Pelodiscus sinensis: one gene and its partners. The main gene of each other region encodes a partner of the protein of the gene in region 2 in a complex. Links are inferred from orthologs where the notes say so. Each region holds a gene or a part of one and is shown on either strand. Other genes may lie near its edges.

What was found.
Region 1: the proteins of GNAI1 (region 2) and ADORA3 are in contact, whole or in part, in a cryo-EM structure (PDB 9EBH), measured with the Homo sapiens proteins. The link is inferred for Pelodiscus sinensis from reciprocal best matches to the Homo sapiens genes GNAI1 and ADORA3. Residues at the interface, in NP_002060.4 of Homo sapiens: Arg24, Glu28, Arg32, Asp193, Leu194, Phe336, Thr340, Ile343, Ile344, Asn347, Leu348, Asp350, Cys351, Gly352, Leu353, Phe354; in NP_000668.1 of Homo sapiens: Gln44, Thr47, Arg108, Arg111, Val112, Thr115, Val116, Tyr118, Lys119, Arg120, His124, Ile204, Thr228, Ser231, Leu232, Lys285, Ile286, Lys288.
Region 3: the proteins of GNAI1 (region 2) and HCRTR2 are in contact, whole or in part, in a cryo-EM structure (PDB 7SQO), measured with the Homo sapiens proteins. The link is inferred for Pelodiscus sinensis from reciprocal best matches to the Homo sapiens genes GNAI1 and HCRTR2. Residues at the interface, in NP_002060.4 of Homo sapiens: Ala31, Arg32, Leu194, Phe336, Thr340, Asp341, Ile343, Ile344, Asn347, Leu348, Lys349, Asp350, Cys351, Gly352, Leu353, Phe354; in NP_001371201.1 of Homo sapiens: Thr89, Arg152, Ala155, Ile156, Pro159, Leu160, Met161, Phe162, Lys249, Gln254, Lys301, Thr302, Met305, Leu306, Ser368, Lys370.

Annotation. Positions count from the first base shown.
Region 1 is NC_134737.1:3,127,247-3,134,269, reverse strand, and holds the start of ADORA3 (adenosine receptor A3), read right to left. Parts: upstream 3,006-7,023; 5' UTR 2,511-3,005; coding exon 2,161-2,510; intron 1-2,160.
Region 2 is NC_134711.1:20,806,051-20,813,254, reverse strand, and holds the start of GNAI1 (guanine nucleotide-binding protein G(i) subunit alpha-1), read left to right. Parts: upstream 1-4,193; 5' UTR 4,194-5,024; coding exon 5,025-5,142; intron 5,143-7,204. UniProt on the Homo sapiens protein: Guanine nucleotide-binding proteins (G proteins) function as transducers downstream of G protein-coupled receptors (GPCRs) in numerous signaling cascades.
Region 3 is NC_134713.1:42,994,055-43,001,746, forward strand, and holds the start of HCRTR2 (orexin receptor type 2), read left to right. Parts: upstream 1-4,687; 5' UTR 4,688-5,009; coding exon 5,010-5,238; intron 5,239-7,692. UniProt on the Homo sapiens protein: Nonselective, high-affinity receptor for both orexin-A and orexin-B neuropeptides. Triggers an increase in cytoplasmic Ca(2+) levels in response to orexin-A binding.

The sequences.
Region 1 (7,023 bases), on a different chromosome or scaffold from region 2:
TGACAGTATTTAGACGGTCCTTTCAGGAAAATAGAAGAGGTGAGCTAGGATGGGCTGGAACTGTCATGGATGCTGTTGGTGTTAAAGATCCATCCTGCTTCCGAGAGGACAAGCTTAGACAAAGCGGGAAAGAGAAGAATGCCAAAGATAGAAAACACAGCTTCTGTCTCTAGTGCTGACTCTCAGGGTACGTTTAGACTGCAAGCTTCTTTCAAAAGGAGCGTCCACATCTCAAAACCAGATCGAAAAAGTGATCTGATTTTTCAAAAGAGAGCATCCAGACTGCATGGACATGCTCTCAAAAGCCCTGATTGCTTTTCACAGAATGGCCACCAGGGCACCTGTGCTTTTTTCGATTGTTCTTCTTTTGAAAAATGTCCCAGTTCTGCATCCACATGCACCTTTTTTTCGAAAGAGCTCTTTTGGAAAAGGTGTTCTTCCTCATCATTTGAGATTTACCAATGTCAGGAAAACCGCTATGTTCTTTCGATTTAATTTTGAAAAAAACATGATTGCAGTGTGGATAGGTGACGTTTTTTTTCGAAAAAAGGGCAGTTTTTTCGAAAAAAACAGTGTAGTCTAGACATACCCTCACTGACAGTCATACTGCTGGAAAAACACAGGCCCAGCACATAGTCTGACCAGCCACTCTGAGACCTGGAAACTTTGTCTCAGTGTGGCAAAATAGGCTTGACTCATATTACAAAAGAAAAAACCTGGGAAAGAGCAGAAATATAGTGTGGAAGGAGACGGGCATCTTGGAGAGTTGGAAGGGGTGACACAGTCCCACATCCATGATGACATTTGGGGTTTAGTCAGTGACAATGGAAATAAAGACATTACTGGATCCCTCTCTCTCGGCCCAATCTGGTCATCACATCTGTAAGGAGGAGGAGGAAGGATGTCTGGGGACCACAGGGTAGCGCACGCAGTCATCATAAGGAAGCTCATTCTAACCCTTCTTTTATTGTTTAGTCAGCCAGATTGCTCCCTGATATCTCTTCTTTTAAAGATCTCATGGCTGGAATAGCCCCATCCCCTCATTATTTTGTCCATCAGTTACACCGAATTTCTGGCCCACCAGTTTTGATTTGAGAATGGGTCCCACGCTTCTCTTGTTAACCGTGCATAATCTTAACATGGTGCTTGAATTATATAGGTAGGCCTTTTGCTTAGACTAACACAGTCTTTCTGTGGCCCTTTTGCACCTTTACCCACCAATATGTTGTTGTAGGATAGGGGATGGTTTGTATTTTATGAGCGTTCACTCACATCTTACCGCTGACCTCACAATTCAAATAAATGTGTAAGCCCAGTTACTCCACCAGAACTCAGTACTGTCTGCCTTTGTGCCATCTTGGTATTTTTCATGCATGCGCTTGGCCCATGTAAGTTATAGAAAAAAAGGCAGATTTGTCTAAATGACTATTATTAGATGTTGCTGTTCACTTTATGCCCCTGTTTCATTTTGACCCTGGGCTGGCATTGCTGGTTGAGTTTGCGTGACCACCCCCAAAATAAATAAAGACACAGATAATATAAAAATCAGGCTACACACCCAACAAAATGACTAACAGATGAAACCATGAATATAAGAACAGCCAGACTGGGTCAGATCAGAGGTCCATGTAGCCCAGTCTTCCGACAATGGCCAATACCAGGTGCCCCTGATTTTCCAGCAGCAGTCTGATTCCTATAGGCAATTCTGAAATGATTGCTATTTTATATATATATTGAGGTAGCATCTAGGGGCCTCAGATGTGTACCAGGATTCCATTGTGCTTGCTACTGGGCTAGCACTGAGCTACGACACAGTCTCTCTCCCCCACTGATCTGCTTTTAAACTGCTTTTACAAAGAGATTCTCTTTCTCTTTTGGGAACAGATGTTCAAAGCGAGTTTGCTGCTTGAGCAACTTGCCCAATCTGAAGCCACCTCAAATAGATGGGGGGGGGGGGCAGAAGCAAAGAGCATCTGTAATCGCAGAATCATCGAAATGTCGGGCCAGAAGGGCTTGCAAGAGGTTGCCTATTCCACCTCCCAACCCTGAGGCAGGACGGAGTAGAACCTAGGTATTGAAGGGCAGGTCTGAGCTGGGGTGCAGGGACCAGGAGAAGCATTAATTGAACCCCCATTTAGTACGATCACCTGAGTGACTCACCTGGTGGGCAGCTTCACTCGCAGGTACCTGTCGATGGCAATAGCCAGGAGAGACAGGATGGAGGCATTCGTGAAAACCACCATCAGGCAGCACATGAAGAGGCAGGAATAGAAGTGGATGACCACTCCCAGGCTCACCACAATGGCCAGCGGCATGACGAGGATCCCCACAGCTATATCAGCCAGCGCCAGCGAGACGATGAAGTAGAAGGTGTTGGTCTGAAACGCTGGGTTCAGCTTCACCACCCAGATCACCAGGATATTGCCCACGGTGGCGGATAGCGCAATAATGCACTCAACGGTGATGTAAACAGCAGTCAGGCTGCTGTGAGACACGCTGCTGTTTGTCATGGCGAAGAGCAAGCTGTCTCCTTTGCTGGCTCAAGAAACCAAGAGGAACAAGCCCCAGCGGGATTTCCCTCCAAATGAAACCAAACCTCAGCTCTCCCAGTGACTTCCTTTACAATAACTTCCTGTGCAGAACTTTATGTCCCCATGGAATGAGGCAGCTAGCTGGCTGTTACCCCTCCTTAGCATCGCACAGGAGTAAATTGCACCCAGATCTCCATGATGTGCAATCCGTTTGGTCAGTGCCAGGACTTCTCTGTAGCCCCGTCAGTATCCTTCACGCACTCGGGAAATGTGCTTCGGGAGGGTCAGAAATCTTGTCGGGATCTGGCCAAAAATCCACCTGCCTTCTTCACTTGGTCTAGCGCTGTCACTTTTCAGTTACTCTATTTCAGAGCTGCAAGCAGGTTTTTTTTTTTATTTTAAGAATTACCCATGTCAGTCAACCACATCTGACTGTAGATAAGCAACTTCTACTCTTCTTAGGAAGTGAAGTAGTTAAGAGGAAGTCATGAGGATATTCTGTTTGATTTCAGCCTCCCACTTGGCTTTGAATGCATTTTCAGCTCCTGCTGTGTTAACCATCAACTAAGAGTCTGAAGAGGCGGGGTGCCTAGTTATCTTTGTGATGACCTTCTGAGACAGCTATGCACCAGGGGACACTGCTGTGACTAGGGTGGTCCTGTCATAATGCAGAGGCAAGGCCTTCTCAGTGGAAGAGCCTAGGCTGTGGAAATTATTAGCACTAGACATCAGAATCAGTTCAACCCTAATCATGTTCAGAGAGCAACACATGGTTTTAGTCGGTTCTTCACGTTCTTAGGCCACATCTCCACTTGCCGCACTGGGAATCGATCTTCTGGTGTTCGATTTAGTGGGTCTAGTTAAGACCCGCTAAATTAAACACTGAGGGTAGCTTCAGTTGATGCTGGTACTCCTGGCAGTTGCGAAGAGTAAGAGAAGCCAACAGGAGTGTTTGCTCCCCTCAGCTTCCCTCTGTGAAGATGGTGCCAAGCTCGTCTTAAGGTAAGACAACTTCAGCTACATGTTTTATGTAGCCAGGATTGCATACCTTAACACAATCTTCAAGGTCTAGTGTAGATCTGGCCTTAGTCTCTGCATCTACATAATATGATGACAGATACAAAGGTCTCCTTGCCATGAAACTGGCAAAGAATGAGTTCATGGCTAGAGGAAAGAAAAAGGAAAGAAGTAACAGAAGAAGGCAGCAGGGAACTAGGAGAGACAGAGTGATATGTTGGTAAGAATAACTAAACAAAGCTGAAAGCATGTGAGTTTGTTAGGGAAAAGCGTTTCTATGACCCTTAAATTTGCATTTCATTTAGACCTACAGATAGACACATGGTACCCTAGGGATGGCAAATATAACCCACAGTGGAATGGTGGGATGAAAACTATTGTTGATCCCAAACTTTTATCCAGGTCCCAAGAGTGTCTTGTAAAAACACAGAAATCCAGCCTGAGTGATACTGATATTTCAAGGTCCTTTCTAATGGTGTCTGCTCCCAGTAACATGTCTGGCCTTTAACTGCCAGCTTTGTAATGGTCTATATTGCTAGCTTCTCTGGGGAGTGCTTTCCTCTTCCGAATGTAAATAACAAGCCATGTTATGATAAACACAACGGACCGGGATATAATCATTGGAAGGCAACACATCCAACAGTCACTTTCTTAAGCATCCATTGTCTCTGAGCTGACATTGTTCCTGACAGCAGCAACAGTGCTGTGGAAGTGAAATCAACCCAGCCTCTTCCGTGGTAAGACAACTGGTGAAAACATACACTGAAAAAGCCAAGACACTTCTGCTTAGGAAATACAGATACTGCGCCACCTTCATCCTGTGTGTAGACACACTGAAATCAGTGGTGTCGCTCCGGTGTAATGCCGAGCAGAACTGCCTAGTGAATAGGCATTAATCTGGCTGCATTGGGCTGGGATTGAGGTTCTTTAGGGGCTAGGTCCAATGTCCACCAAAGCCAAGGGAGCAGATCCTTAGGGAACCTCAGTTATATCTAATCCATTGACATCAATCGGGATAGGAGGCCTTTGTAGATGGTGGTGCCATAGCCGAGGCTACTGATGCAGAGAATAAGCCTTAGTCAAAGACTCAGTTCTGACTTGCAATGAGCACACAGAAGAAGTCAAGGCACATGCCATTCACTTACACCCATGTGCTCCTAGAGCATGGGCAACGAGAAAGCCGAGGGCAAGGGGCGCATGCTAGGAATTAGCTAATAAGTAAGCACCACAAGCATCCAATTCAGCAGAAATGCCCATGGCCAGCTGTCTGCAGAACAAGCAGCAATTTCAGCCATAGAACAGTTCCCCCCCAGCCCAAGCATAGATCCAGGTTTCACTCACCTGTCCAGCCATAGGTAAAACTAAGTCTGGGCAAACCCTCGCTCCTCTTTGCCTGCTAAGCATGACCTCATCTCCTCATCTCATGTTATTTTATGTGGCCGGATGCGGCATGCAGCAGGTAGAGATGGATAAGCGTGTGTGTGCACACATAGGACAGGTGGTGAGCCAACCAGGGTGGTGACGGAAGGGTGTGCCTGAAGGCATGCAGTGTGGACACATGTTGGGTACATGACGGAGACTGTAAAACCCATACTTGTTTGTTATTTGCTACATTCATTTCCTGGCCATGCTGAATTGAGCTAGGTGTGGCCCTAGCGGGGCTAGTGCTATTAATTAGAGCAGTTTGATTGAAAACATAGCTGAGGGAGGAAACCCTCCAATTCGACATCGTCTTCTTTTCCTACCACCTGCGACAATAAAAGAGTAATCACCACATCCTGCCTTCGGCACAGCCCCACACCACCCTTGTGACCACTATCATCACTCTGACCCCTTACATCCTTTTCCAAAGAACTATTTCCTAAAATAGCCTTCTCACCTATATGTGCATCCGGCAACTGAACTGTGTTACTTTTCACCTGGCCTAATATACAGGCATGCTGCTTGCTTGCACGAGTGATCCAGACAGTTCTGCATCTGTATGAATTGCCCTCTTCATTATTTACCAAGCCCCCAATCTTTGCGTCCAGATTAAGAAGAGAAATTGGTGATGGGCAGGCCACATCCTGTGGAATGGACTGCGAGGAATGTATCGTGGGACAAGCATTAGAATGGAATCCAAAGGGAAAGAGGAAAAAGGGGACGTCCAAACGAACATGGCGACAAAGCTGCCTGGACGAAGTAAAAGCAGCTGGCTTAACATGGGATCAAATCAAGACTATCGCTAAGGATCGCAAGAGATGAAGAATGACAGTGGAGGCCCGATGCTCCATTAGGAGCCCAAAGGACTAACGATGATTAATATTTGCGTCATCCGCAAGCTTTACTAATGATGGTTGTTGATTTCCTTCCGGGTCACTGCTAAAAATAATGAAATGTCATAGGGTCAAGAAGTGATCTGCACAGGACCCCATGAGAGCCACACCCATTCAATGATGATTCCATTTACATTTCAAGAGCTGTCCGTTGGCCAAATTTTAACCCATTTAATTAGTGGCACATTCATTTTTTACCTTTCTAGGTTTTTTTTTTAATCAAAACATCATGCAACTCTGAATCTATTAAAGCTCCACTACTACCCTCATCAACCCAAAAATATATCAGGTTAGTCCGACAGGATGTATTCTCCATAAACCCACATTGATTGGCATTAATTATATAATCCTCCTTTAATTTTTATTAATCAAACACTGTAGCAGCTGTTCCATTAATTTGCCCAGGACTGAAATGAAGCCGACAGGCCAATAATTTCCTGATTCATCCCGTTTAAATATTTTAAATATTTGCTCAACATCAGCTTCCTTCTAGTCTCCTGGAGCTGCCCCAGTCTTTCAAGATTCATTGAAAATCAGCATTAATGGTCCAGTGCCCTCCGCTCTTTGAAAACTCTCAGATACAAAGAAGTGGGTTTTGCCCATGAGAGCTCATGATTTTATCTATCTATCTATCTATCTATCTATCTATCTATCTATCTATCTATCTATCTATCTATCTATCTCTCTCTCTAAGGCTATGTCTACACTGCATGCCTTTTTCGACAGAGGCTTTTTCAACAATATCTTTAGAAAAAGCCTCTGTCGAAAAAGAGCGTCTAGACAACAAGAACATTTTTCAAAAAAGTGTCTTGCTTTTTCAAAAGAGAGTGTAGACGCTCTCTTTTGAAAAAGCCCTGTTTTCATGCAATAGATGACTTTTGAAAAAAGGTGTTATTCCTCATAGAATGAGGTTACCGCCATTGACAAAACTGCCACGTTCTGTCCACTTACTGTCACCAGAACACGGCGATAGTGTAGACACAGGTATAGTTTTTTTCGACCAAAGCCAACTTTTGTCGAAAAAAACCCTCTAGTTTAGACACACCCTAAGATGCCACAGGACTACTCAGTGTTTTTTAAGTTGCAAACTAACACGCCTACCCCTCTGAGACTTTTCCTCAGATACAAGTTAGCCAGACCAACTGATTTTCTATCAGTCT
Region 2 (7,204 bases):
CCCCGGAGGACGGGGGCGGCGGACCGCGGCGCATCTGGGCGTCCCGCCGCTCCCGTCCTCCGGGGCGAGAAAAGCCCCATTCGTAACTGCGGATCCGACATAAGTCGGATCCGCGTAACTCGGGGACTGCCTGTATATGTAAGATCATATGTCTGCCTTTCCAACCAGGACACATGTAATTACAGCTTTACAGCTTATGATGCCAACTCCTCTAAGGTATTTATTATAAAAAAAGACGGTATGTGTGTTCACAATAGATGTCCTTTGATTATTAACCAATTCTATGTTATTCCAAATGTTAACGAAACTAATTTCTGTTTATGCTTTGTGTTCACATGAAAAGGATGTGACATTAATTTTAGTTCAAGAACTTGGGAAATGCAAGCTTAATTTTGGCATATCAATTCTATCAACATCTGGACCCTGTTCATTTAGTAATGAACCTAAGTATTCTGGAGCAACTCCTCAGAGACCTGGAAAGCAAACTAATCCAGTTGTGAAAACAAGACCAAGTGTTAGAGGCTATTAATATTATCAATCAAGTTTTGGATAGAGTATAAAAATCAGCTGTCCTTTGCAAATCCCTGTCTCAAAAGGAATGACCCAGCCTACTGTCAAAATTTGAACTAGTGTAATGAAGAGCAATACAAACATGCTGTGTTTCTTACCTCAAAAGGAATAATTAAATGTGTTTGAACTCAATTAGTTTTCTTAATTTAGTAGATACATACAAAGAAACTTGGTTATTTCAGAAAAGCTATCTGGACGTTCACACACATCATTTTTGCCAGCTTCAGATAGCTAAGCAAGTGACCCAAATACCAAGAATTTTATTTCATGGCCATCATTTCTCAATCCATTTTAATCTACTTTAAGGATCACTGTTGTAGCATTATTTACCTCCTCCTCACTTGGAATTGAGTAAATTAGGTAGCTGCCCCCAAAACCCTCTGGTTTGAGAAATGAGACTGACAATAGGTTTCCCACGTGGCAGTGGAGAAGCCACAATAGACCATAGTTTATTTTATATGTAATAACACTAATAAATAGCAAAGCTAGTAAAAAGTTGTTCATTTATTACACAGAAAATTGCTTGGGGGAAGATGCCAGAAAAGAACATAAACTGAGCACATGTGGCTGAAAAAGGTGGGAGCTGATTGGGGTGAGCAGAGCAGGAAGCAGATTATTGTGGTGAAGGAAGGAGGCTGAGTACAGATGCATCTTTCTTTTATGCAGCTGCTAATTATAAACATTTGACATAAGATTTCTGGCCCAAGCGGCTGTTTCCCTCTGCTGGTTAACCAACCCATTTTTCTTCAAATTGGCTTCATTTTCTTTGCTGTGTGAGGACTTAAATCATGCCAAGTTTGAAAAGTTACATTCAGACAGTGAGTTTAAGATATTTTAATAGATAATAATTGCTTCAGTAACAAATGACATATTTTCAACCATACCTCGATACCAGCTAAACTCAAACTTTAAAAAAAAAAGCACAGTTCAGTTGAAGGCAATTTTAGACATTTTTTTACCAAGAGGAGAGGACTCTTTTAGCATTTGAAAAGCAGAAGAAACTGCAAATTTCTCATTTTTAACTAAACTATAGTGCTCGGTATTCCCAAGAGAGAGACTGTGATATCCTCTTCGGGGGGGGGGGGGGGGGGGGGGGTCTCAAACTTCAAATCTGAAGGCCATCCCCTGCTGGAGCAACTGCACAATCTGACCCTGAAATCCTGGTGTGGGTTATATGTTACTGTTCCTCAAGCCCCACCCTTCCCATCATCACGCTGCCCTCTCCCCCTATAGCATTCTATTCCCCAAGCACAGCTTCAGGGCTCACTGGGGATGGGGGTGGGGAGTCTGGCCTGGAAGCAGCAGTCAACCCTTCTCTTCCCACCCAAGGCAGCAGGAGTGCACTCTGTCTCTCAGCACTTGGTGAGTACACTCACTTGCTCCACTGTGCTCCATGGCTCCAGCCACGGCAGAAAGCATGGGGAGGGAGGGGGGCAGACTGCTGCTGCTGCTACACCACATCAGACCATCCAAATGATCCCTGAAATCACCTTGAGAGATGGGGTACCATGGGTGGAAGCAAGGCAGGAGGAGCAGGGCTTAGGGAATGGAACAGGCAGCTTCCCTTCCTTCCACCAAGACTCCTGGGTTGGATTATGCAATTGCTGTGGCTGCGGATGGTCTGCAGGCCAGGAGTTTGAACCCTTGCTCTTCAGTAAGGGTATGTCTACACGTCATTCCTCTCTTTTGAGAGAAATGTAAATGCAGACACCCGAAATTGCAAATGAAGCGAGGATTTAAATATCTCGCACTTCATTTGCATAATCACATTATGGTGCTATTACAGAATAGCGCTATTTCAAGAGAAAAACGGGGTTATTTCAAAATAAAACCCTTCCCTCGAAATAACCCTTACTCCAAAAAATGAGGAGTAAGGGTTATTTAGAGAGAAGGGTTTTATCTTGAAATAACCCCGTTTTTTCTCTTGAAATAGTGCTATTCCACAATAGCGCCATAACACGATTATACAAATGAAGCATGGGATATTTAAATCCCTGCTTCATTTGCAATTTCGGGTGTCTGCATTTACATTCCTTTCTCTTGAGAAGAATGAAGTGTAGACATACCCTAACTGTGGTTGTTTGAGCTGTGTTGTCCAGATCAGTTTTTGCTTCTGGTTTGTGTGCACCTGACAAGCAGCAATCCAGGTTCCTTTTGGGCAAGAAGCTCACCTGAGCTCATGTCTTTGCACCCCATCTGCCCTCTTCCACACCCAAGGTCAGAGTGGGCCCAGCATGGCTGCAACAGAAATAAGGGCACAATGGTGGCAGGAAAGCGAAGGAAGCAAAGTTCAGGGACTGTGAACCACAGTTAGGCTGTGTCTAGACTGGTAAGTTTTTCTGCAAAAGCAGCTGCTTTTGCAGAAAAACTTGCCAGCTGTCTACACTGGCCGCTTGAATTTCCGCAAGAACACAGACTTCCTACTGTCTGAAATCAGTGCTTCTCGCAGAAATACTATGCTGCTCCCGTTCGGGCAAAAAACCCTTTTGTGCAAAAGGGCCAGTGTAGATAGCTCAGATTTGTTTTGCACAAAAAAGCCCCAATCGCAAAAATGGCGATCGGGGCATTTTTGCGGAAAAGCGCGTCTAGATTGGCACGGATGCTTTTCCGCAAAAAGTGCTTTTGCAGAAAAGCATCCATGCAAATCTAGACGCTCTTTTCCGCAAATGCTTTTAACGGAAAACTTTTCCGTTAAAAGCATTTGCGGAAAATCATTCCAGTCTAGACGCAGCCTTACTGTTTAGGGTTGCCATCTTTTTAATAGCTAGTAATCGGGCCTCCAAGTCCCCACCTATACTCTGCCTTTTCTCCCCAAGGTCCATCCTTGTTCACCGCTCTTCCCCCTCATGCTCTCTGGATCATCTAGATCAGTGGGTGGGCAAAATATGTCCTGTATGCTGTATACATCAGGCCTGCCATGTGCAATGGCCCAGTGGGAGCCTCCGGCTAGCTCCATATCTGCCACACACCCCCAAGCTGCTCAATGCAGCTGACTGCAGAGGCCACGTGCTGTCTGCATGCTGCACACTCACAGGGCTTCAAGTGCTGCACCCACCCTATTGCAGCACCGATTGTTTGGAACAGATCAGTTGGAACTACCTGCACCATACAGTGAAGGGAGTATGCAGAGAGCACATGGCTTGCAGGGGTGCAGTAGGTAGGGAGCATGCTTGAGGATCCTGCTCAGCTGCTGGCCAGGAGGGGCCCCAGCTGAGCAGGGTTAATGACCCATGCCTCCCCCTGGCCCGCGGGAACTGAATTTTTTGTGTCTACTCAGTACATCTGACCAGACCCTGCCAGGTCTCCTTTGTGAGCTGCCTTTCCTGCAAAACCGGGCACCAGGCAACTCTCACCGGCATTGGACAGAGAACCCGAAAGCCAGCTGTATGCAGGGCGCGAGCGCAGGGGGCCCCCTCTGGCCAGTCACCCCTTTGCCAACGTCAGCCCCGGCACCCGCTGCGTAGGACCGGAGCCAGGCTCGTCGTCAGAAGCTCCACCCCTCATCGCACTGGAGCCCTCTGATTGGCTACCCATCCCACTTGCCCCTCCCCGTTTGGGGGTAGACTAGCCCCTGAGAGGTGCGGCGGCCAGAGCCGGCTCCTCGCCTGTGAGGAGTGCAGGACGCTCTTCAGGAAGGGGGACGGGGTCTCTCCCTCCTCCCCTGCTGGGAGCGAGAGGGAACCGCGGCCGCTGCTGGGACTTCTCGCTCCCTTTTAAAAAAGTTTACGAGTTTTGACCCTCGTCCTCCCCCACGGCAGGGAGCTCGCTTCTCAGGCTCGCTTTCCCCAGCCAACTGGGGCACTCCCGCGGCGTGTTCCTGTTGATAAACTCTTGAATGAGCGACTTCTCTCCCTTTTGACCTACAACCGTTGAAATTCAAAAATTGCGCAGCGTTCTCCCCGCTAACAGACTTTTTTTAAACACTCGGCCATGTGACGTCACACAGACGCCGCGTGGGCTGGGGGAGGTGGCTTGCCCCATTCCTTCCCCATTTTTCATCCGGGTTATCTACCCTTCTTCTCAAGTACTCCAGCCTTCTTCCCGCAGGCTTGAACCCCAGCTGTCGTGCGCAGGCGCACTGTGTACCAACCCCCCCCCCTCCTCCTTCCAGCGAGCAAGACTGGAGTGGGAGTGGAGGGCTCGCGCTCCCCCGCGCTGTCTCCGGCTCGCGTGAGGTGTTGTCTGGCGCGCGCGCGCCCGCGTTGCTGGTGGGGGAAGACAGGCGGCGCCTTGGGAGCCAGGGCTGCGGCAGCATCACTGGGCTGACGAGCGAGGGCAGCAGCGGATCCTTGCTCTCCTGGACCGTTGGCTCAACTGACGCCCGGAGAGTAACGGCTCGGAGCCTTGTGTGTGCTGCGGGGGCCCCCTTACCCCGGCGCGCGCCTGCGGCGTGAGCTCGGTCACCTGCGCGGGGAGTTTCCGAGGGGGGACGCTTAGCGACCTACGGCCCCGAGATGGGCTGCACGCTGAGCGCGGAGGACAAGGCGGCGGTGGAGCGGAGTAAGATGATCGACCGGAACCTGCGGGAGGATGGCGAGAAGGCGGCCAGGGAAGTCAAGCTGCTCCTCCTAGGTAAGGGACGGAGGGGGCCGCTGCGCTTCCCGGCCCGTGCCCCCGGCGCGCTGCTCTGCCTGAGCCGTAGTCTGTCCGCTGCCCGGCCCGGGATCCTGCCTCGCCTGCAACTCGCCGCTACAGGCTTGGCCCGGTTCGGGCAGGGTACTGCTCCTGCGGGGGCGGGCCGCACCTGTAGGTATTGCCCCGTTCGACGATCACTCGGGAGCCGGAGCGTGCGTGTTCTCGTGGCTCCATCTCCCGGATAAGTTCTCGGGAGTGGGGATAGGAAGGGCAGCGGCGCACTTGGCCTCTGCTGGCTTAGAGGAAGAATTGATGTCAGCTGAAATGATCAGTGTAGGCAGCACCCTGAGGCTGGATCATTTTTACTTGAACATTTAAGCCCTCTAGAGCTGCGCTTTCATTTTAGCTCGCCTTTTGAAACAATGAACGTTAAAGGAGCACGACACGGTATACTGCTTTAACTCTCCAAGTGCCCTGCTTCCACGAGGAACACCGATATTTCCCCCCCCGTACTTTAAATATCTACTTTAAAATGGCATTTGGTGACTTTTTTTTAAATCTGCTTTTGAGTGAATCAGTATCTGCTTATCCGCGACATTCAAACGGTGTGGCAATGGTTTGTTTATTTGGCATATTTTTAACAGAATTGTGAGGGGAGAGAATGAGGCGTGGCTGTGGAAATCAGAAGGTTTAAGACAGGGGTGTTTTGTATCAGGGGCTGCTGACCCACAGAAAATGGTCCAACAAGAACAAAAAAACCCAAACCAAATCCCCTCACTGATGAGGACCCTGACTGAGAAGCAGAAAAGCACTCCCCACATTCTCCTCCTGCACCAGAGCCTAGAGGAGGCCGGTCTAATAGATTTTGTGTGCTCCAGCTCTATGGGGGGGTAGAGAGGGGGAACAGTGGGAGGACTGGAGTGCCTGCATGAACTCCCCAATTCTGGGAGAGACCCATGCCTTGGGCTGGATCAAAAAAAGCCTAGGACGGCATCTGGCCCCCCGAGCCTTAAATTCTCCACCCCTGGTCTAAGAGATTTCAGAATATTGGAAGTGAACATTTTAAACTCTTCACTAAACAAACGTGACATCCTTAGTTATAACAGGAAGATACTTTTACAATAATCCACAAATGACGGAAGTGAGATTTGTATTACACTGTTATAAAAAGGTATCTTGTATATTTTAGAAGTACAAACTGAACAGGAATATATTAACCCACATATACAAAGAGCTGTCTGCATGGCTTTTCTGCCATTTAGGAGCTGTACTAGTAATTAATAGTTTTCAACACAAAAAAACTAAACAATTTTGATGTTTCCCAGGAAATGTTGACTTTGCCAGAATATTACTCTGAAATATGTTTTGCACAAGAAACACTTATTCTCTTTCCTGTTCTAGAAATCTATTGCATCGTTCTTTCCTGTATAGATATAGAGGTGAAACAAGCTTTGTGTGGAGAAAAACAAATGTTGTCCTACACTGATTCATTTTTATGAGAGTTTTTTCCTCAGTGTCAGGCATATTTGGTTAGTGCAGTTCTTCCTCTGCCGTTACTTTTTACCTCATGCAACAATCATGTGAGGTCAATGTTGTAGACATTCTAGTGTTTCCATTTCTGAAGGTGAGAGAAAGTGATCATTTCATTTTTATGGTAGTGCCTAGAAACTCCAACCAAAATAATCTTTCACTGTTTTTTGTGAAATACTTAATTTTTATAGTTATGCACAGACTTTTGCATGGGATGTATAGAAAGAAGCACAATTTAAATACCGCTAAACAACTGTTCCTCCTTAAACGTTTCACAGAATTATTTTGTAATGTTAGAAAATACATATTCTTTACATTTTTATGCAGTTCCAATGTATATAGCTAAGCTGTTTCTACCAATACATTTTGAGAGTAGCACAATTCAAATATTGAAAACTTCCTTCAGTTAAGATGGACTGTGAAAAACAGAGTTAATTTTTACTGGGGCTGGATCCTCAAGTTTTTAGGCAGGGAGAACCTATTGAGAATAATTGGACTAAGATTTTACATCATCAATGATTGCATGAAC
Region 3 (7,692 bases), on a different chromosome or scaffold from region 2:
AACAAATGTAAGACTGAAACAAATGCCAGGCTGCCTACATTGTCTTTAGTTCCATTTTAAGGTGTATAGATGATCACATTCTTTATTCTAAAAATCATGGGTTTGGCTGTGTAATTTCTAATGTAGTGCTCTAGATATCTAGGATGTTGCAGCTATGGCCTGCTCTTCATTTAATATTAATGGCTGTGGGGATTTAAAATTGATAAAAGCTTTTACCATTCATTTATCTTCCTCTCTCTCTGTTTTCTCCCTCTTCCACACTATATTTGAGTTGAGGAGAGCCCTGCTGCTTGTCAGGCATTGCTCAGTGTTGCTGCCAAAGCAGTGGGATTTGTTTGATGCATCTCTTGAAGGCAAGTGCTGTGAGTGGTCCTTCTTTGCAGCTTGACCATGATGTTATGGCAATTGGTAAACAGCCAAGATGCTGAGAGGTAGATAGATCAAGAGGAAAAAAAGGGGGCAGTAGAAGATGGTGAAATTAGAGCAATGGAAGGAAGGTGAGGCGGGGAAGGGCAGATTTCCATGGCCACCTTCTCTGGGGTCCCAATTCAGCAGTCCATTGTTATTCAGCAGCATGAGCTGAAGTACTTTGCTGACTAGGAACAGGCCTAGTCACGAGTTTAGATGCTTTGCTGAATTGGTATCCATGAGCTCATATGACCTTTAAGCAGCAGTCTGTGGACTTCTGACAACATAAATCTTGCTTTCTGTTGTGAAAAATCAAATCTGGTCTCTCATTTCAGATGCTCCTAAGTTCATGCAGAACTCAGTCTTTTTGGTTCTTTGTCACAAAGGTTTAAAAATGAAGAAACTGATCTGTAAAGTAGAAAGAGGTGCTGCTTATTTGTGTTATTAAATATATGTCGGTTATAAAATTCATACTAGCAGAAGGAAAATGTACTTGAAGCAAAAATAAAATCTGAACCCTGAAGTGGGGGGGCTAGATTGGTCTTATCTCCAACTGAATGATGGCAATACCTTTGAGATAGCATAAGCTACAAAATATAAATTGAGTTGGATTAATATTTATATTGTATAATATAATTTTTGTATGTAACATCATAAATTGAAAGCTACAAGATATTTTACTAGGAATGACTGATTTATTTCGGTATTTGTGGAAATTTAAATGAGTGATTATGGGTTAAGTTTGCATATATCAGTCTCTCTTCTTTCACCTAAATGAAATGCCAGACATTAGCCTCACTGGGGGAAAAGGTTGACAGATATAAATTGGAATTTAAGTTTCTTAATTCAGATTTGGTATATTCTCTATAGGCTTGTAAATTTGAAAACATCATTTGTTACATAGTTTGGTTCTGATAAATAAGAAATTGAGTTTAATGCATCAGAGACATTTATAGTTCACATGAATGTACAAGAAGACTAAGGTTTAAATCATAATAGTATTGCTAGAGATGGTGTAATAAAAATAGATAAACAGTCAAATGTAGCCAGTTAAGCTATTATGCTGATATGATTTGGGAACATCTAAAATGTAATAACTAGAGATGGTTTCCCCCTTTAGATGATTATAATGAAAATTAACAAACAAAAATAAAATGTCAATGGGCCAATAGATATTAAATATATTTCCTGAGGAATCTCTGGGGATTGTGTAACTCTACAATTCCAGGTAAGCAAAAAATCTAGCCTTTGAGGCTATACCTTCAGGAGGGGCTACAGTGTGATAGGCCCATTGGCTGATTAATGCAATGTAGAAGTTGTGCCTGGATTCAAACTTTGAGATTGGGGTGATGTGTATGACCAGCATGCTGTGACAACTGATGTAACAGATTAGAAGTTGCACTGGTGAATGAAAAGCAAGTTTAATGAGGTAAGGGTACCAAATCTATCTCAGTGAAGTCAGTGCAATTAGAAAGGCATCCCCAGAGCTAGACTGAACAGGTTTCATAACCCCTACATGTTGAAAAGTGGTAACTTCATATCTCAGCAAATGTTTGTGAGATGGGTCCATGAAAAGGGTGTGGAAGGGAGAAATGAAGGCAAAAAGGAGGAATACATTTATATTATTACTTCCAAAGCCCATTTTCTGGATGTTATTCTCTCCCACACAAGCTGGAAAAGGGAAAGACAGTATCCAAGGTGGCAAAGATGGAGAAGATAGTACAGAAGATGGATTGGCATTTAGATAACGTGGGTGACTGAGATAAAGTAGCTGTGGTGTTTGATTGGCTTGTTTATTGAATATCTTGGTCTCTTGGCTGGTGATTCAGGGTTGCCAGTGGAAATTCAAGACATGTATTGGAAAGAACCATGGAATGTGTGAGACTTGCTACATTCTCTTTTAGTTGCAGGTATATAAATTGTGAGGGATCAAAGTGTAACCCACAAGTCTTTCAAGATGTGAAGAAACTCACCAGTCGATTAAAAGAACAACTGTGGCCATCCATAGGGAGGTCCTCAGCAATGTTGTGCAATTCCCTAGAGAAACTGGATATCTGCTTCCACAATGGAAATCACATCATGATTATGGTGGAAATGGACTTGGCTCCGATATCAGCTATATGCAAGGAAGACTGCAATAATCTTCTCTCTAAGAGTTGCCCTTTGTTTATGATGTTCTTAAATTGTTTTGTGCTGTTTGTCTCATTCATTTACTATTTCCACAACCAGGGAATTCAGTGACACTTCCAAGTACTTTGCTAAAATGCAATATTTTAGTTGGCACATTTACTGGTGGTGGATTGTACAGTTGGAGTCTGCCAGATGGTCTTAGCAGGCTCTAATAAAGCCAGATTCACAAGGAGGGCTGCAGGCAGAAGCTTGAAGCATGCAATATGTCCAGAAGTTTATTATGAAAGCCTTTGACCTTCACTATTGGGGTTTGAAACACATAGCCACTATGTACTTCATCAGCTCCTGAAATAGTTTAGTTATTTTCCATGGAAAGTGGTTGAGGGATTAGAACCCCATACAGCAATGAGGAGATATTCATGTGGTTGCCTCTTGCCTCCTGTTCTTCCAAAAATGTCCTCTGCTGACTCTAGTTTGTGGGGTGTGAGTAAGGGCTCGGGGAATAGGTCTGCCTATTTGACCTGCAAGAGTGACACAGAGACCTTAGGAATTGTTGGCATTACAGGCCCAGGATTCCCAATAAGACCACTGGGGAGAGCCATGCACCATTGATAACACGAGGGAGACAGAGGATGACATCATCTGTGCTTTGATGTCTCTCAATTGGTGGAAGAATGGTGTCTTGCAGAAAATACCATTGAACTGACATCCACAAATCAGAAAACTCAGCAACTTTTTTTGGGGGAGGGTATGATAACTGATTTCAGTAGCTACCCCCATTCTAGCTCTCTTCCACTGCTGATACTCTTCTCCCCAAAAGTGAAGTTAAATTTAGTGATGTGTCAAGCTGGAACAGGACAGGGGAAATGTGGGTGGGAGTACAGAGAGAAGGCTGCATGGAGAAACTTGGGAGGAAAACAAACTGGAGTTACAGAAAGAGGCATGAGAAGAGGAGGCAGAGGGGAAGGGCAACAGCACAGAGAAGGGGCTGACGAGCTAGGGAGGGTAGTTTTGGAATATCAAGGACAGGTGTAAGTGTACATCTAAGGATTCCTAAATGTGAGCCCCACATTGCACAGCACACGTGTATACACAGGCAGTGAGCATACACACTTGCTTACAGGTTGGATTACATATACAGGCAGTCCCCGAGTTACGTGGATCCGACTTACGTAGGTCCCACTGCCTGCGTCCTCCGGGGCAAGAAAAGCTGCGGAGCACGCGGGCAGCAGGACAGCCCAGACGCGCCGCGGCTGTCCCGCTGCCGGTGTCCTCCGAGGCTTTGCTCCCCGTCTCCCTGGTCTGCTGGGGGGGCTCCCCTCCAGCAAACCAGGGAGACGTGGAGCAGCTTTTCTCGCCCTGGAGGACATGGGTGGCGGAGGATGTGGGCAAAGCCTCAGAGGACGCCTGCAGCGGGACAGCCGCGGCGCGTCTGGGCTGTCCTGCTGCCCGCGTGCTCCGCAGCTTTGCTCCGCGTCTCCCTGGTCTGCTGGGGGGGGGGCGCAGCTAGTGCACCTCCCCCCCAGCAGACCAGGCTTTTCTCGCGGAGACACCTGGGGTAGAACAGCTGGGGCGCTGCCAGGTTGGTCCCACAGCGCCGCTCCTCGGCGCTACTGGACCAACCCGGCAGCACCCCAGCTGCTCTGCCCCAGGTGTCCCCAAGTCAGCCGCTGCTGAAACTGACCAGCGGCTGACTACAGGAAGCCTGAGGCAGAGTTGCTCTGCCCCGGGCTTCCTGGAATCAGCCTCTGATCAGTTTCAGCAGCAGCTGACTTGGGGACACCTGGGGTAGAGCAGCTGGGGTGCTGCTGGGTTGGTCCCTGCAGCGCTGAGGTGCGGCGCTGCGGGGACCTACCCGGCAGCGCCCCAACTGCTCTGTCTCAGGCGTCCAAATTCATCCTCTGTTGAAACTGATCAGTGGCTGATTCCAGGAAGCCCAGGGCAGAGCAACTCTGCCTCGGGCTTCCTGTACTCAGCCGCTGGTCAGTTTCAGCAGCAGCTGAATCTGGATGCCAGTTCCGACTTACATACAAATTCAACTTAAGAACAAACCTACAGTCCCTATCTTGTACGTAACCCGGGGACTGCCTGTACTCTCACATTTGGAAGCAAAGTGCCCACTCCTCCTTCTCCCTCTAAGGATTTGCTGTGTATTGCAGAGTCTGTGCCAGAATTATGCATTTGTAAGCATGTGCTGTGCCGGCTCCTCTGTCACAGCAGACTCTGATGCCGAGTCCTCATTCCCTCTCCCAGAGCTGCTGTGTGTGCAGCTTTGCTGAGAAGTGCTGCCAAGGTAGTGGGAGAAGTTGTCAAAGGTTCCCTCATCATTGGCTCTGTAACTTTTCATTTCCTTTTCTCCATTTCTCCTCACACTGGGCTTGCCATTCCACAGCACAAGTGTAAATGGATGGACTTCAGAGAAGCTAGAAGTACTGACCAGGTTTGATCCCAGACCCAGGCTAAAACCAGTGATGTCCGAGACAAAACTGGATAATGAGTCCCCTTCTTGTGGGAACTGGTCATCTGCTCCAGAATGGAATGATACTCGGGAGCCTTTGTCAATCCCCTCTGCTGACTATGATGATGAGGAATTTCTGCGATACCTTTGGAGAGAATATTTGCATCCAAAAGAATATGAATGGGTCCTGATTGCAGGATATATTGTTGTTTTCATTGTGGCTCTCATTGGAAACATCCTAGGTGAGTAGCACTCTGCATTTCTCCTCTGAAGAGTTGTAATATAACCTGTTTGCACGGATTTTCAGGCAGCCTATACTATGAATAAAAGGTAGGTGAGTTAACAGTGGCATCTGGGAACATTGTTTCTTGTATCCGAGAGTGAAAGTTAGATTTAGACAAACAGGGGACATGAATGTGTTTGTATCTGGCAGTTTATTTTGAAATTAAAATGGCTAACTCTTCATGTCATTTGTCATGCTTGGTATTTAAGAGGCTGGGAGCATCATGTTTTGAGAGTGTTAAAAGCAGCTCTTATCACTGTTTTCATTTAGAGAGCTACATTAAGACAGTCGGCTTTCTAGCTGTTTACTAACTAACAATTAGTCATGGTTGTAATTAGAATCCCCAAGAAACAAGCTCATCCAAACTAGGAAGGTTGTGTCAATGAAATGTTTGTTCTCTAATCTCTGTCCAGCTGGCAGTAGTGCTGAAATTCTCCAGCCCCATTCAGATCTTTGCAGACATATGTTTTCCTTCATGTGGTGCTGACAGCTGCTCTTGACAGCACTTCTGTGTCTGGTCATAATGCTGCTTTTCATTCAGAAATTCTCAAACAAGTTAGCAGAGTTTAACTTAGACATTTCAATGCAATGGCTATTTATACTCACCTGACAGGAGCACTCCAGGCACTGACAAATGTGGAAAGCAGATTAAATCAAGAACTTGTTCTTATATCAGTTGTTTGAATAGATTTCTATGCTAGGGTGAATGCTAGGGTTCAAGGATATAACTATGTAGAATGAAGCACTCCCAGCTTTCAGCCAGGGGGAGAAAGCAGACAAAAATCTCAATCTCTCTCTCTCTCTCTCTCTCTCTCTCTTTTCCTACTCTCACCCAAATTTCATTCATCTGTGAAGGAGGAGGAGGAAGGGAGGTAGTGCAGCAGGAAACTAAGAACACTGGCTGCTGCTTCATGCAGGGTTGCTCAGAATAATCTATTGGGAAAAAGTGCGGGGGACTTTGTTTGGGGGGACATGGAGGAGGGAACCTGGGGAATTTGAGGGAGGTGAACTGGTGAGTAAGGAAGGCAGAGAAAAGAGGAGGAAGGAATAGGAAGATGGAGGGATTTGAAAGTGAAGCAGAGCAAAGGGGAAGGTTGGAGGTTCTTTACCAGGTAGACTAAGAGAAAGAATGTCCAAGTGAGTGATGGAGGCAAGGAAGACATGAGGCAGGGAATGGAGAAAAGCAATATCATGAGTGAAAGTTAAAGTGAAACCTTAGGGCAGAAAGTCATGGGAATGTTAAGAGTCAAGATAGGGGAAAATGGGGATGGAGGAGTAACTGAGAATTTCGAAGTGAAACAACTGGGATATATTTGAGGTAGAGGGAGGGAGGAATGGTGCAGGGCCAGAGTGTGGAGGGAGCAGAAGAAAGAACAGGCAGGAATCTGGAGTATGGCAACAGTGAGAATTGTTGAAAAGCAAAGGCAGAAAGAGGATGAGGGGGGAAGGAAGGATGGGGGAAGAGGAGCTTGTGTATAAGAAACAGATTTAAATACAGAGAAGAGTGACTGGGGGAGATGGAAGATGGCTTTGGAATAAGGAGAAGAAGCTAGGGTGTTTGGGGAAGCTGGGAGTGACTGAAGAGAGAAAATGTGAAGGGATTTATCAGAAGCCAGTATCCTTAGAAGCTAAAAGTAGCTCTCGGGTAAAATAATGGAATAATTTAGGGAAATAACATATATAACTCTTTGGAATCTAACGTAAGCAGAGATTTTAAAAAAAACACTCCAGCAGTTATGTCCAAGGCTTCATTTCTAGGACAAATAAATCATGCCACACAACTAGTGGAGAATTAAGGCTACATGTAGGGACTGTGCTTAAAGTTCTTGAAACTACAGGGTACTGGACTCACGGGGGGATTAAAATGCCCAGATATCTTTTGGGTTCACTCACAACCAAACTTGCATCATCAGTGAGATGCTGAGTTACACAGGAAAGAGTTTTATAACCCAAGAAGTAAAAAATGCAGCCACAAGAGAAGTCATCTTGGACTAACTTGCTACCAGTTAGGAGGAAGTGATTAAAAATATGAGGCAAATAAAGAAACGATATGGTGTGTTTGTGAGCTACTTGAATTCAACAGTGTAATGAAGGGGTTAATAAAAGTATTAAAATATCCATTGATCAGAGTCAAATGGGAGGAATTATTCAAGTCATAATGGTAGAAAAAGACTGAACAATCTGAACATACCTCAATGAAGGCAGAACTTCTCGGGAAGTTAGTGGGGGAAGAAGAGACAAGAGGACTGGCAGGAACAAGACATGGCTACTATAATGAGAATGGAAAAGGGAGGAAGTCAACCAAACAAGACTGTATGGGCTGGCTGAAAAAATTGTGCCAGTTATGTGAAATAAGAATCTGAAAGGTGTTGGTCCTGTAACACACGTATTAGATGTAGTGTGACAAGGGAGA